Oryzias latipes: one gene and its partner. The protein of the gene in region 2 interacts with the protein of the main gene of each other region in a pairwise test. Links are inferred from orthologs where the notes say so. Each region holds a gene or a part of one and is shown on either strand. Other genes may lie near its edges.

The links. The genes of interacting proteins can lie anywhere in the genome.
Region 1: the proteins of cib3 (region 2) and enox2 interact in binary tests that used the Homo sapiens proteins (3 or more experiments, as listed by UniProt). The two-hybrid records come from large-scale screens. The link is inferred for Oryzias latipes from reciprocal best matches to the Homo sapiens genes CIB3 and ENOX2.

Annotation. Positions count from the first base shown.
Region 1 is NC_019868.2:7,970,310-7,974,328, forward strand, and holds the start of enox2 (ecto-NOX disulfide-thiol exchanger 2), read left to right. Parts: upstream 1-1,153; 5' UTR 1,154-1,244; intron 1,245-2,085; 5' UTR 2,086-2,189; intron 2,190-3,744; 5' UTR 3,745-3,821; intron 3,822-4,019. UniProt on the Homo sapiens protein: May be involved in cell growth. Probably acts as a terminal oxidase of plasma electron transport from cytosolic NAD(P)H via hydroquinones to acceptors at the cell surface.
Region 2 is NC_019875.2:30,516,009-30,520,216, reverse strand, and holds the start of cib3 (calcium and integrin-binding family member 3), read left to right. Parts: upstream 1-1,408; 5' UTR 1,409-1,749; coding exon 1,750-1,800; intron 1,801-2,292; coding exon 2,293-2,327; intron 2,328-2,504; coding exon 2,505-2,616; intron 2,617-2,917; coding exon 2,918-3,065; intron 3,066-3,391; coding exon 3,392-3,591; 3' UTR 3,592-4,208. Other genes in the region: bone morphogenetic protein 2-like, read left to right, coding at 243-661. UniProt on the Homo sapiens protein: Acts a an auxiliary subunit of the sensory mechanoelectrical transduction (MET) channel in hair cells. Plays a role in regulating hair cell MET channel localization and function.

The DNA of each region.
Region 1 (4,019 bases), on a different chromosome or scaffold from region 2:
ATCAAGGATGCCCGTCTGTAAGAATTCTGTGGTGTTTTGTTTTGGTCATGTTTTTTGGTTTTCTTTTTGTCAGTCACTCCAGTTTCAGGTTCATGATCCACAGCTGTCTTCAGTTCAGTTAATAACCCTCAGCCTATTTAAGTGTCTTTGTTTCTATTCATCCTTGTCAGTTCATCTACTCTGTTGTGTCACTGTTTTGTTTCTCCCAATAGTTTTGTCATGTTTCAATTAGTTTATTAAATATTTTATTTTCTGTCACCAAGCCAGGGGGGTATTCCAGGAAGCATGTTTAAACTACCCTGACTTTAACCCTGAACTCTGGCTGAAATCCGCCTGAACTTGCTTACTCTGGGTATGTCGGTTCCAAAAGACCCGATATGAGTTAGTGTAATTACGCTCGACTTGGTAACCCCGGCTTAATGCACGTGCTCGTCAAGTTCATAAGGACATTCTCAATGGATCGCCGATTTCCGGAGTCACCATGGAAACGCGTGGAGAAAAAAGAGAGCGCTATACTTCAGTGAGACGGCGTATGAAGATTATAAGACCATCAAAAAAGTAACACGGCTGCATCCTCAAAAGAGTTTCTGCTCATAGAAAAAGAACAGACAAAGTAAACGCACGAGTTTCTGATCTTATTTCCATTTTCCTTGTGACGCATATATATATATATATATATATATATATATATATATATATAAAACCTTTTTCCAATTTTGCCACCTTAAATGAATTACTTCTATTGATAACAAATGATTGAGTTAAATGTATTCAACCTAATTTCTTACGTCTATAAAACTCAATAATTGTTTATACAACTCTAATTTACATATTTATCTAACTAAATGTCTTATTACTCCAATTCAATTAATATTTTTTCCATCTTAATGAATTACAATTCTATCTATCTTTCTATATATACTTTAAAAAGGCCCAAGTAAAGTACAGATTCGTAGGAATGTAATGATTCATTAGTTTGTGAGTAAAAATAAACAAGTATTGTAAATAAAAAATGTGCGCGAACGTTTGTTTCACAACATTGAAAGTACGTGACGCTTGGACCTTCCGCTTGCCGTAGATGGCTTTGCCTCCGATTGATAGGTCTTGTTGCTACGCTGACGCTCCCCTTAGTTACCTTCTCAACCAATCAGATCGCCAGTCGGCAACAACAGCGGAAGGAAGGAAAGAGCCGTGTCCGCGTGCGTTAGTTTAACACTAATTACTGCTATAAAAGACATTTCCATGTGAGTATTACAACTCGGAGGTACTACTTATGTGTTGAGGTCTTTACTTATTCAAATTTAAAGTAACTGGCGTTAATTGCATAGAGGCTGGCAACTTTTCTCTCATGTTACCATAGAAGGTTTTGCGTGTTTATAAACATATATCAGGTTAATTTATTTCAGATTTTTTTTAATATGACAAAAAATGTTATCCTGTGGGTCTGTGTTTAACTCAAAAGGCGACATGGGTATTTAAAACTAAAGAGGGTTTAGGCTGTGATGAGTTTTGACAGCTTTAGCATCTGTTGTGAGTTAATTATTGCTTCTCTGCTGCTGCAGTGCTCTTTGCCATAAAACAAGAGACTCTCTCGGCTGTTTTTGTTCTTTTTTTTTTTTTTTTTTTTTTTTTTACGAGAACATGATGAATAAACGCTGGAAAACAAGTTACTAAGTTACTTAATTTGTCAAAGCAGTCAGTCCTGATCAGCAGAAACTTCTGGACCAGATCTGGCAGATTAAGGTGGCATACAATGGCACCAGCTACATTATATTATGATGGACGAGCTGTGGGTCTACTTTTTTGCCTTTTTAATGTTTTTCTGCCTTTGATGTGTAAGACTCCAACTATCCTGCAGATCAACCATAAAGTTTTTATTTATATACATTTTTAATAAACCAAGAATAACCTCATAAATAACATTTTAACATTAAAAAGCAGACGTAGTGCTAAGCACCCACGCTCCCTCTGTTATAAAAGTTAACTCTGGGTTTTTGTGACTGAAGAGTGCACGATTTTTGTTGTCAGTTTGAGTGTTGGAAATGTAGTTAACGTAATTTTAGTGATTGTGATTTCTGTTAATAGGGTGATGATCATAAAACGACCTTTTTTCAAGTGTTATTGGGGATTTTAACCTGAAGCTTGCATCATCCTCCCACATTGTTCTCATGCTACACTGCCCCGTTAAGGTAAGTTAGTCTCAATTTAGCCGGTAAATTCTATTTTTTAAGGAAAATAGACCACTTGAGATAAAAACTTTTTAGGCCTGAGTGCAGTTTTCCATGTCTGTTTAAAGGTAAACTTACCATAAAGATCAGTGCCCAGTGTATTTTGTAAGTGCTAACCGAGTCTGCGGTTATTCTGGTTTATTTCTTTAAAAGGGTAACATGGGTGGAAGAAATCTGTAACTCTTTCCTTTTCAGATGTTTTTTTTTTTAAACTATTTGATAAAATACAGGAGATTTTTACTGTCAGTTAATGTAGACAGTTAAAATGGAACAGAGTATTTTCTGATGATGTCACTTAAAAAATATAAAAAATAAACGGAAAAGTATTATGTAGGTCTGTCTAAAGAAATATCTGTTGCTTTAGATTTAATGAACAGCAAATGATTAATATTATTTCTAATATTAAGATGCAGCAAAAATAGTTTTGTTAGTTTTGTGACATGCTTATGCAGCATTACTTCTGTTTCTAGCAAACTTTTTAATGCATTAAGTCAAAATATTCGGTCATTAGTATTAGTAGTGTTAGTATTATTAATTATTGGTAGTGGTTTTTTTTCTTTCAATGTTATTTTGGACCTGGCAAGCTGAACACAGTTCACTGAAGGTTTGTATTTGGCTGCTAAGTTTCTAACAGGGAGCAGGTGCCTTTTCCAAAGACAAGTGTGGTTTAATGTAGGATTGTATTTACACTGAAAAGCCAATAATTGAATCCAGACATTTATTAATTGTTCTGTCTGTCTTCCAAATTTTTTCTCACAAGGATTTCTATTTAGAAAGACACCAGCGATGAGCTACAAACTACAACTTGGATAAATTGCATGAGTGAAGTCTGTGTCCAATGCCCTGACAATATATTCTACATAAACTTTCTCAACTCTAAGAAACTTTGGCTTTCATGTTAAAAAGTTTTGTTTCTGTGTACTGGTAATTAACGTTCTATTGTTGTGTAATATGTTTGCTTAAGACAAGGTTTTTGTTTCAAATAAATCTTGTTTGTCTTTTTGTTCAGGTATTTTTAATCTGGGCCAAAAATGGCACGAGTGATTATTCCAAAGCTCAAAGCATACATAAAGTTGACATTTTGAAACTTTTCTGGGTCAGCCTCGGACCACTTTTGAGCTAGCAGCTGTTTTAGTGCTGGCCCTTGTGGGGGCCATCTCTGGCACTCAAGCTCTGAGCCACCAAAGGGCCTTTATTCATTTTAAAATGTGAGCCAGGTGTAAGTGCATTATTTCTACTAGAGCTGGACCAGACCCATTTGACTGTTAGTGTAGCTCCAGTTCAGCTTGAGCAGCACAGAGGGCGGTTGTGCTTGTCAATAAACATCAGCAAACACATGCTTTTAGGACTTTACTGTATATCATTTATGCATTTTCAGATTGAATTGACTTTCCTTTTTGTAAATACAAATGCTAGGAACACAAAACTGGAACCATACTGTGCGATCATAGAGCAGGCATAAAACTCTGCAGTTGTTCCTGTGCTGATTATTATATTGGGTTTCTCTGATCGCCAGATGCTGTTTTTGGTTTAGCATCATGCTGTTAAAAGTAGAGGCCAATGGGAGACCTGTGCCCTCCTTCAAACAAAAAGGTAAGCAAAATGCTACTGACATACATCCAACATGCAAGTTTGTATTTTCTCTCTTTTTCTCATTTAGCCAAAGCTGAATATTCTAGTTCCCTATGCTACCTCAGTTGCTTTGTTGCTACAGTTTGACATGAAAATTCCGATGGTAGATCTTGTAAAACATACATGCATTTTAAACAGAAATTTATGAGCAACTGCATT
Region 2 (4,208 bases):
ATAAAGGTTAACCCAAAGACTGGGGTGAAGGAATAACCCGAGTGTTTTAACCCTTGTGCTATCCAAGGCACGTTAACGTTGGGAGTGGGGTCATCTGGACCCCACAAGATGGCCCATGGGTTAAGGGTGCAGTGATTCCAACGGAACCTAAAACCAATAAGTTCTGATTTACGGTCATGATGCCTGCTCACACCGTCCTCCTGTAGAGATTAACACGTTTGACGTCTCGGTTCCTCCCTCAGACTCTGGGGAGTCCACCTCCACCCTCCCCCAGTTCCCCATGTCCTCTCCGTCTTCTCGCTCCGCCCGCTCGGTGGACTACAGCGAGGACCACGGCGTGCCCAAGCCCTGCCAGCGCTTGCCCCTCTACGTGGACTTCGAGGAGATCGGCTGGTCGGGCTGGATTGTGTCGCCGAGGGGCTACAACGCCTACCACTGCAAAGGCTCCTGCCCGTTCCCTCTGGGTCAGAACATGAGGCCCACCAACCACGCCACCGTCCAGTCCATCATCAACGCCCTGAAGCTGGTCCGAGGCATCGAGACGCCGTGCTGTGTGCCGGACAAACTGCACTCCATCAACCTGCTGTACTTTGATGATGACGAGAACGTGGTGCTGAAGCAGTACAACGACATGGTGGCTGGGAGCTGCGGCTGCCACTGACCATGAGCGCGCACGTGCACACGCACACAGCCAGCATCACTCTGAGGCCGCACTAACAGGCAAACCTGAGCAAAGATTGTAAAATATGTAAATATTCATAAATATTAATATATGTTTATGACAGATGTGTTATTTACACAAATGTAAATGTGTATATTGTGTTTTCTGCTGAGTGGGATTGTAGTTTGAATAAAGGTCAAATGACAGAATGTTTTTTTTGTTATTTTAAAAAATCCGCTCAAATGATAAACATGATAAACTTTAAACAATTTAAAAAATGCATTAGTAAACTGAATTATGATTCATACCATGTACAAAAGTATTATTCATTCAGGTGAATAATTGTTGGGAGCCTGCTGTTGCCAGGTTCCCCCAGCAGAGGGCGCCGCTGTGCTCTGAGAGGACAGAGCCAGTCAGTCACCTGGTGCAGGTGAGGAGGTCAAAGTTACCTTCAGAGGGGCAGGTGAAGCTGTCTGAATAAAAAGTTTAAAGACATTTTTTAAATTTACTTTGACTAAAAGTTTTTCTTTGCAATAAAGTTGAATAGAAAGTGAATCTGAACCGTCGTCTCGGTGACTTTTGACCTCTTGTCAGCCGAACTTCAGCAGAACCGCGTTCTTGATTCACAAGCACACCCATCAGACAAACACACTTAGGACGCTCATTGAGTTTCCCTCTGTGTGTGTGTGTGGGGGGGTTCAGGTCAGGTCTCCGCGTCCCTCAAACATTCGCCGTTTGCATTGATCAGATGCAATAAACCGTTTCTCTGCAAAAAGTCGTCCCAGCAGGCCGTCAGAGAGGATGGTAACCTGATCGGGGAGCGAGGCGTTGGCCGTGCCGTGGCACTAAAGGGTTGAAACCACTTGGCACGGTGCTCGACGACAGCCCTCATTCACTGCCACACGGGCTCCTATTCAGCACACAGAACCATAAACTGCTGCCATTATAGTGGCAACCAAAGGGCCCGGCTGCGACCCGACACCCGATCTCCTCTTTGGCTCCGGCCTCCTTTTGTGCCAGGATTTCATATCTGAACTGCCCTCCATAAAAAGCCCTCCAGGCTGCAGCCATGGACCTGCTGCTCCAGGATGGGAAGTAAGCAGAGCATCTTCACGGCACAGCAGCTGGATGCCTACCAGGTGGGTGGAACACCTCCTGAAGACTTCCTCGTGTCTTTGAAGACCTCCTCAGCGTTGTCATTAAACAACTTCAGGACATTCAGGACATAGAAGTTCTGGATTCTGGATCCTGCAGGTTCTCTGAACATCAGATTTGACTCATCAGGAATTATTCTGCTCCTGTTTCATTCCAGACTGTTTGACAACAGGACCCGACAGAATAGAATAGAGTACATTCAATGGTGCGTTAGCATCATCAGAATAAAAACAACAATAGAAGCAGATTAAAGCCAGTATACATATGCGTACATGTGGGCGTGTCCCGGCGTCTCAAACGCTGAACACCTTAGGAAGGTAAACCACCACAAAAACAAATCTGAACTGTGCTGCTGATGACTCCAACCTAACTTTAGCAGCAGGAAGGTTGAAGATGATGAGAAATAAATGTTTGATGAAGACGTTCAGGGCTGCAGGGTCTGTGGGGTCTGCTAACCTGTCCTGGTCTCTCAGCAGGACTGCACATATTTCACCAGGAAAGAGATTCTCAGGTGAGCCTTCACATGTCTGCATCTTATTTCTGTTGGTTTTGTCTTGAATGCTGTAACTTTTAAACACCATCCTGCTATTGAGACTGTTTTTTGTCTTCAAATCAGCTTCACTGGCTGTCCTTTCAAAATACAAGTCTGGAAACATTTATTTTGAAATTCTTTCTATGTTCTCTCTAGATTGTTCTACCGGTACCGGGATCTGGCCCCACAGCTCGTTCCTCTCGACTACACCAAGGAGCCAGATGTGAAGCTACCATATGAGCTGATTGGCAGCATGCCCGAGCTGAAGGTAGAGCCGCCGCCGCCGCTCTGCCACCCCCCGCCCGCCCCCGTCCCCATCCCCATCCATAATGCACGAGCAGCTAATCGACAGAATTCTTTGAAAGGTTATCCGTTACATGACTCCCTTAAACTTGAAGAATGCCGGTGGGTTCCAGAGGGCAGGTCAGTTGTGCAGCTCTCAGGTAAAGTCAGGTGAACAGGTGTGGCCGCTCAGAGTCCAGAGACCCAACCTCCATCCGAGCCTTTCCGTCCTTCGACCTGTGAAACGCTTTGTTAACCAGACCGTCTCTGGTGTCGGTTCGGTCCAGGACAACCCGTTTCGTCAGAGGATTGCGGAGGTTTTCTCTGAGGATGGAGAAGGAAACATGTCGCTGGACGACTTCCTGGACATGTTCTCCGTTCTCAGCGAGATGGCGCCTCGGGACCTGAAGGCCTACTACGCTTTCAAGATCTACGGTAAAGACTTTTCTGACGCTCGTCTGGAGACGTCCCTTCAAACCTCTTCCAGATTCTTTTGGTTTTCAGTTGAACATTAGGGGCAAATTTAACGGATTCAGACCTGAAAACCACCAAGTACGGCCCCTAAAGCCGGATCAGGTGTGTCCAGGTGATCAGCTGCCAGTGGGGCATTAATGCAGACCCCCGAGGCCTCGGGGGTCTGCATTAATGCCCCACTGGCAGCTGATCACCTGGATCAGGTATGTCCAGAACATATCTGAATGTTTTAGCGGCTCGTTTCTGACCCCAAAGCTATGAAACAAACGTTTGATTCTTCCCCAAAGACTTCAACAACGACGACTTCCTCTGCAAGTCGGACCTGGAGAAGACGCTGACCAAGCTGACCCGCGGCGAGCTGGGCGAGGACGAGGTGAAGATGGTGTGCGAGAAGGTGATGGACGAGGCGGACCTGGACAACGACGGCCGCCTCTCGTTGGAGGACTTCCAGCACATGATCGTCAGGGCTCCAGACTTCCTCAGGTGAGCTCAGGCGTCGTGTGGATCGACGCTGCTCCATTAAAGCCTGTTCTGATCCGGTTCTGGTCTCTCCACAGCACCTTCCACATTCGGATCTGAGGAGCCAGAACGTTTGTCTGAAAACTGTTTTTCACCATCTGGTCTGTAGAAAGTAGTCGTCCCAAACCCTGACCCGCCGCCGGACGGAGCCGCGGTCCATCGGCCGTCCCACCAGGACCCGGCTCATTAATTATGACGATCGGCAGCAGATTCCTTTCATATCTGAAGGGGTTTGGTTACACAAATATAAAGAAGCAGCAGCGCACAATGCAGCGCCGAGGGGAGGGCCGCTGGTCATCGGAGCAGCTCCTGGGGGGCAAACGAGGGCCGACGTCCATTCAATGAAAACAACGCTCACAGCTTTCATCTTCTTCTTTTAATAAAGCAAAAGTACACGTCTGTACAGAGCGTAGATCCATTCTAGACGGGTTGAGACAGAACATGGTGTGTTGGGACATATTTACAGTCTCTGACCCAAACTCTCCTCGTGTTACACAGAAGCAAAGCAGATGATCATGTTCAGTCTATGAAGCAATGACACGCGTGTGGAGATATGTTCACAATGGGGACGCATGGATGTTGGAA